Linked DNA regions of Oryctolagus cuniculus. The protein of the gene in region 2 interacts with the protein of the main gene of each other region in a biochemical or structural test. Links are inferred from orthologs where the notes say so. Each region holds a gene or a part of one and is shown on either strand. Other genes may lie near its edges.

The links. The genes of interacting proteins can lie anywhere in the genome.
Region 1: the proteins of TNKS2 (region 2) and LNPEP form a complex in vitro, tested with the Homo sapiens proteins (4 studies listed by BioGRID and IntAct, with this or other methods). The link is inferred for Oryctolagus cuniculus from reciprocal best matches to the Homo sapiens genes TNKS2 and LNPEP.

The regions. Positions count from the first base shown.
Region 1 is NC_091445.1:19,698,675-19,702,354, reverse strand, and holds part of LNPEP (leucyl-cystinyl aminopeptidase), read right to left. Parts: intron 2,403-3,680; coding exon 2,262-2,402; intron 1,311-2,261; coding exon 1,229-1,310; intron 447-1,228; coding exon 315-446; 3' UTR 1-314. UniProt on the Homo sapiens protein: Release of an N-terminal amino acid, cleaves before cysteine, leucine as well as other amino acids. Degrades peptide hormones such as oxytocin, vasopressin and angiotensin III, and plays a role in maintaining homeostasis during pregnancy.
Region 2 is NC_091446.1:38,638,990-38,642,654, forward strand, and holds part of TNKS2 (poly [ADP-ribose] polymerase tankyrase-2), read right to left. Parts: intron 3,077-3,665; coding exon 2,890-3,076; intron 528-2,889; coding exon 371-527; intron 1-370. UniProt on the Homo sapiens protein: Poly-ADP-ribosyltransferase involved in various processes such as Wnt signaling pathway, telomere length and vesicle trafficking.

The sequences.
Region 1 (3,680 bases), on a different chromosome or scaffold from region 2:
GAGACACAGAACAGAATTTCCAAACTGATGTTTCCCCTCTCATTTGTGTATCTTCAAAGTAGAAAAATTACTCATCATTTTTGTAGACAGTTGGCATATAGGTGAACGTACATTTGTAATAAATAACTACACACTGCCCAAAGACACTTTAGAAAAGACAGATGAGAAACACAGTCGGGCCCTGAGCTAACTACAACTCCTAACAGTGCAAACAACTTGGCAGCGGGCCTGGCTTCACCGTGGCTTTTGCAAAAGCAGCAGAGCCCAAGTTCACAAGCTCTCCAAACGGGTGACAAAATGAGGGGCTGCGCATGCTACAGCCACCACCGCAGAGTCTGGAGGTTCTTCTTCACCCACTGGATGTTCAACTGGATGATCTCCAAAGCCTCCCGGACACAACGGAGCTGGAAGGTTGCCTCCGACTGATTCTCAAAGAATGCCTGCACCTGTAAGTTCCACAGAGACGTGGAAGAGAATTTAAGAGGTTTATTGTCCTTTTCAAGCAAGCGTCAAGTTAGTGATGGCTATGCTGGTATCTTGAAAACAGCAGAAAGAAACTTGTTACCTCAAGGACCCACACGGAATTCTGAATTCTCCTTATCTGCACAAGAATGAATTTTTCTAACTTAAAATAGAAAAAGGGGGGGGGCAGGCATTTGGTGCAGCAGTTAAGACGCTACTCGGGATGCCTGCATCCTATACTGGAGTGCCTGGGTTTGGGCTGTGGTTCCACTTCTGATTCCAGCTTCCTGCTTATGAGGAACCTGAGAGGCGGCAGGGGCGAGATCAAGCACCTGGGTCCCTGTCACTCACGTGGGAATGAGTTCTTGGCTCCTGGCTTTGGCCTGGCCCAGCTCTGGCCGTTCAAGCTGTTTAGAGAGTGAATCACCAAATGAAAGCTTCTCTCTCTCTCTTTCAAATAAATAATAAGAAAAACCTATCTAGTAACAATAAATAGAGTCTGAAGTTAGGCTTGGCTCTATAAATTCACCTTTCAATTGGATTCTCCAAAAACAGTTTTATGACCACTTAAATTATTTATATTGCTGAGAGCAGCATCCAAGTTTTCCTCCTTACCATGTAGAAGTAATCTAGGTGCAGAATCATTAACCCTGATGAGGCCAGCAGAGAAGGCAGGAATTCCCACTAAAGGTCACCCTCTCAAACAAACTGCGCAGCCTGGGGGACATGGCTACCCAGCCCCCTCCACACATTTTATAGAACCCACCTCAGACAAATGGGCCTTTGTTGAAAACAGGTGAGTTGATCCTGCAACAATACTTTGTATGGTATAGGAGCCCAGGTGGAACCTGAAGAAACACAAAGACAAGAGTTAAAAAATTGAGACAGTTGCTGGGCAAGCAAAGCACAAAGGAGATGCCTTCCTGCCAGAGAATGGAGCCTATCCTGGGACTGCAGTCCAGGGAGTCAGTGGTGGGCAGAAAAAGGGAGGAGCTCAGGATATCCAGAGAAGTCACTAATCCATTTCATCTCCTGACAGATCAGATCACACTCCCAGAAATGTCACTGTGGCTTTATTTATTTATTTATTTATTGACAGACAGAGTGGATAGTGAGAGAGAGAGACAGAGAGAAAGGTCTTCCTTTTTTGCTGTTGGTTCACCCTCCAATGGCTGCCTCGGCTGGTGCGCTGCAGCCTGCGCACCGCGCTGATCTGAAGGCAGGAGCCAGGTGCTTATCCTGGTCTCCCATGGGGTGCAGGGCCCAAGGACTCGGGCCATCCTCCACTGCACTCCTGGGCCACAGCAGAGAGCAGGCCTGGAAGAGGGGCAACCGGGAAAGAATCCGGCGCCCCGACCGGGACTAGAACCCAGTGTGCCGGCACCGTTAGGTGGAGGATTAGCCTAGTGAGCCGCGGCGCTGGCCTACTGTCGCTTTAAAAGACACAAAGGAAGAAACTGACATGTGCTGTCTAGCTGGGTGTGAGCTCTTAACTGACGCCTAGGAAATGAGGTATTTTCAACCCACAAGGGCCTGTAGCCACACTGAGCTGAGCGGACCCGGCATCAGCCGTGGCTGGGCAGGACCAGGACTTTCGCACAACACTAGGGTCACATGACTCACACAATGGGACTGTGTTGACAAACGTGAACACTTCTGGATGTTTCAGTTAAACAGTCACAGAAGCATCTGTCTGTCACAGCAAGTCCTAACTCCCACGAACCAACACAACACTGGGAACTACTTCTAGGAACACCACTGGAGAACGCTGAACGTCAGTAATTCGCTGACAAACTTACTTCTGTACAAGCTCATTCCAGTTCTCTTTGACAAAATCCCACGCCAACAAGTGTCCAGGAAAATGCCGGCCCACTGTTCGGATGATAAACGACAGCTTTTGTGTTCGGATGATATCTCCATCAAGGCTAGTCTTCATCAACCTGAAGAGCAAAACAGATCCAGCCTCCAAAACAATTATTCACAAAGAGCAACACCTGAACCTAAGTTAGGATTGGTTTCCCGATTAAAGTTCTAGAGTAATTCAAGTAAAGTAAATGTTGAGTAGTCTAAGACTCTTCACTGGTGATTTTTTTATTTTAATGAAAGGTGTTTACAAATGCTGACAAACAACAACAGCTTTTGATCCAAGGATATTTGGGGAAAAAATAGACAGAAGGGCCGGCGCTGTAGTGTAACAGGTAAAGCTGCCGCCTGCAGTGCTGGCATCCCATATGGGTGCCGATTTGAGTCCCAGCTGCTCCAATTCCAGCTCATTGCTAGGGTCTGGAAAAGCAGTAGAAGATGGCTCAAGTCCTTGGGCCCCTGCACCCATGTGGGTGACCCAGAAGAAGCTCCTGACTCCTGGCTTCGAATCAGCACAGTTCTAGCCATTGCAGCCATTTGGGGAGTGAACCAGTAGGTGGAAGACTTCTCTCTCTCTCTGCCTCTGCCTCTCAAATAAATAAATAAATCTTTTTAAAAAATGTTGATGGAATTTATTACCATTCTGGAGACTTTTTTTTTTTGGTAAACACCTTATTTGATTTGAGCAGGCAGGTGTATTACGTTAATACTCCTAAAAAGCTGAGCTGTTTGAATGATCTGACAATGAAGATACACTTCAGAAGGTGCTCTTCCTGGGGCAGGCGCTGACTCTAGCAGTGAAGACATCGTGACCCACAGCAGCACCTGGATTTTATGTGTCGCTCTTAACCTGCGTTTCCTGACAACACAGATGCTGGCAGGCGGCAGTGATGGCTCAAGTGATTGGGTCCTTGACACCTACGAGGGAGACCTGGATTGTGTTCTGGCTTCTGGCTTCAGTGCTGGCCCAGCCTGAACTGTTGCAGTCATTTGGGGAGCAAACTGGCAGAGGGGAGCTTTCTGTCTCTCAAATAATTTTTTAAAAAGAACACACTCTTATTAATTAATATTAGTAACTGGTAATTAATATAACCAGTTGGTATTATATTGATACTATGTACTAGATATTGTTCTAAATCCCTGACAATACTATGGACTAGGCGTTTATGACCCATTTCCTTTTTACAGACAAAGAAACTGAAGTTATGTAACTGTCCTCCAGTTAGGCAGCTAACAAGTACTAAAGGTTGGCATCTGATTGTTAACTGTTCTCACCTACTATGCTATACCATCCTATCCACGTAGCAAGAAAACACACATCTGACAAAGAGACTCAAATGCCCAACAAATTGTGA
Region 2 (3,665 bases):
GGAAATACACACTCAACTCAAGTACAATTTAAGGACAAAGAGACATGCCTGTAACTTACTCTCAAACAGTTCACAAAAAATAATATGCTCATATATACACATGGAGAAGGAGGGTGTGAGTGAGAGAGGATGACAGAGGAAAGGGAGAGAATAAAATATTAAGATTTGGAAAATTAGGTAAAGGGCAAAAAGGAATTCTCTACTATTTTCAAAACTTTTCAAGTCTGAAATTATTTCCACATAAACATTCAAAAAATGCAGGTCTTAAGGCAATGTACTTTGCCAATTTAAGAGATTAGAAAGAATTTAAAATGTGGCCGGATACTATTTTTAAATACAGGCAAAAAAAAAAAAAAAAAAAAAGTGTTACCTGCTCTCCTCTGTAAATAACATATTCGGCTAAGGCTAGGCCATTGACACTGGGTCGACCAGTGACTGAGTGGTGACCTGGAGGAGAATGTGCCATTTTCATTGCACTAAACTGCAGGAAAGACTTTCCCAAGGTTACTCGGCAAAAGAGCAGCTGTCTATGGTAGAGAAAGGAAAAGATCAGCTTGAAGACAAATCTGACATGTAAATACGAGTTATTATTTGTGTATACTCATAGCTTTACAATGTATTCATATGTAACATTTATAATTATTTATACCTTTCTACTCTTAAAAGAACTTTGTAAGAATGTCTTCTACTACCCTTATTGATTTAATCTTTTAACTACAAAACCTGAAAAATGTAATGACATTATAGAGATTCAGACTTTTAAGATCTTATTTGTAATTCCAGCAAAAACATAAAAATCATAGGCCAAGAGGGAACAAGGAACAATTCAAGGGGTTTCTAAGTGGTGGCTTGCAAAACTGGACATTTATCCAACTAAGTTGCTTCCATCTTCAAAATATACTTGAGGGGCAGGGGCAGGCTTTTGGCACAGTGGTTAAGATGCTACTTGGAATGCCTACATGCCATACTGGAGTGCTTGGGTCTGAGTCCTAGCTCAGCTCCAGAACCAATTTCTTGAAAACGCCCACCTGGGAGGCTCAAGTGGTTGGTTCCTACCATCCATATGGGACATCTAGACTGAGTACCTGATCCCTGGCTTTGGCCTGCTTCAGCCTTGGTTGTTGTGGGCATTTAGGGGATGAACCAGCAGAGGGGAGATTTCACTTGTCTCTTGCTTTAAAATTACATTTAATACATACATACATATAGATAGATAAAATATAATTATGTTTATATATGTAAGAGAGAGCAAGAGAATCCCATATACTGATTTATTCTCCAAAGGCCTGTACCAGCTGGGACTTGGGCCTGGGGACTCAGGCAGGAACTCAATCTGGGACTCCCATATGGATGTAACGAACCCACTAACATGAGCCATCACCACTGCCTCCCAGGGTCTGCATTGCTGGGAAGATGGACAAAGGAGCCAGAACAGGAACTAAACCCAGTTACTATGACGTGCAACGTACTTATCTTAACTGGTGTCTTAACTTCTGCCAGGCCAAATGCCCACTCCTGAATTCTAACGTCTTAACTCACAGTCCTATAGCATTCAAGGGCTACAATAAAATCTCTCTCATGCTCAGTATTATCTTTTTCTTTCTTTCTTTTTTAAGATTTATTTAATTTACTTGAAAGGTAGAGTGAGTGAGTGAGTGAGTGAGAGAGAGAAAGAGAAAGAGAGAGAAAGAGAGAGAGAGAGAGAGAGAAATATCTTCCATTTGCTGGTCCACTTCCCAAAATGGCCACAGTGGCCAGGTCTAGGCCAGAGTGAAGTCAGGAGCCAGGAGCTTCTTCTGGGTCTCCCACATGGGTGCAGGGGCCCAAGGACTTGGGCCATCTGCTGCTGCTTTCTCAGGTGCATTAGCAGGGAGCTGGATCAGAACTGGGGCAGTCAGGGCTCAAACTGGTGCCCAATTTGGGATGCCGGTGCTACATATGACAGCTTTACCCGCTATTCCACAGTGCCAGCCCCTCAATTTTTTTTTTTTTTTTGACAAGCAGAGTGGATAGTGAGAGAGAGACAGGGAGAAAGGGCTTCCTTTGCCGTTGGTTCACCCTCCAATGGCCGCCGCACCGCGCTGATCTGATGGCAGGAGCCAGGTACTTCTCCTGGTCTCCCATGGGGTGCAGGGCCCAAGCACTTGGGCCATCCTCCACTGCACTCCCGGGCCACAGCAGAGAGCTGGCCTGGAAGAGGGGCAACCGGGACAGAATCCGGCGCCCTGACCGGGACTAGAACCCGGTGTGCCGGCGCCGCAAGGCGGAGGATTAGCCTAGTGAGCTGCAGTGCTGGCCTCAATGTTATTTTTTTATTCAGCATTTAAAAAAATTTAATTAATTTCATTTTGAATGGTAGAGAAATAGAGATATTTCATTTGCTGGTTCACACTCTAAATGCCTGCAACAGCTGGGGCTGGGCCAGGCTGAAGTCAGGAGCCAGGAGCTCAATCTGGGTCTCCCAAGTGGGTGGCAGAGACCCATGTACTTGAGTCATCACCTGCTGCCTCCCGAGGTGCACATGAGCAAGGAAGCTGACATCAGAACTGGAGTCAGGACTTTAATCCAGGTATTCCCATATGGGACGTGGGCATTCCAAGCAGTTCCTTAACCACTGCACCAGTTGTCCACCTCCAATTTAGCATCCTTTGAAGCACTAGGTATTCTAATGATTAAGTGAGTTAATTACATTAAGTAAGAAGTGTTTTCCATAAAGGTCATATAATAAATATTAGTTACTATAGCTAATGAGATCCAAATGCAACCTAAAATATATGTATCTTGGATTACTAGCTGTCCAAAATATTACCTGGTCCCCAAATTTCTCAAATATGTAACTAGTTCTTTTCTGATTTTTATCAAAATAAATGAGAACAAATATTCTCTTACCTGTGGCAAATATAACAAGATCTGTCTTTGTGAACTGGACACCCAGTACCTCCTCCAATTCCATATACATACTGATTGCTTTTGGAAGAGTTTTCAGCAAAATAAATCCCAGCTCCAAACATGCCACCTATGTACGCGTGCCTTTCATCAAAGCCTTTATGGATAATTGCATTCACAAAGGGAGAGCCTGAAATACACACAGATGGGTAACAATAACTTAAAACTTATCTTAGAAAAAGAACTAAAGCCTTTTTGAGGTTAAATTCTTAAATATATACCACCACCACCACAAAGCCAAAACCAATAAAGGTTAAGTTAACTGTCAGTTCATTATTCTATTTCCTTTACTTAAAAGGGAGACAGCGCTCCTTTCACTGTTTCACTCTCTCAACAACTTAAGACATAAATAATCAGAAAGCTTCAAAAAATAAAAATTGGAGTTCATGATTCAACCACAGGTATCACTTTGTGAACATTGAAGTTAAATGTAGTTTAAGATGTTCAGAATCAAAATCAGAAAAGGATGAATGTAGTTTTCTGTAGTGATCTTCAGGCCTCACTTCAATTTTATACTCAATCAATTAGTTAACAAAACACAATTTCTCAGAGTGATCTTAAAACAACATTAACAGTCAACATCCATATTTATTTTTGCCCTTATGGTAATCATATTATAACCATAAAGTATAAATCATAAAATGTACTCCAAAGTTCAAAAAATGAATGTAAATCCAAAATTTACTGTCAGATTTATTTTTATTTTTATTTTTTTTAAG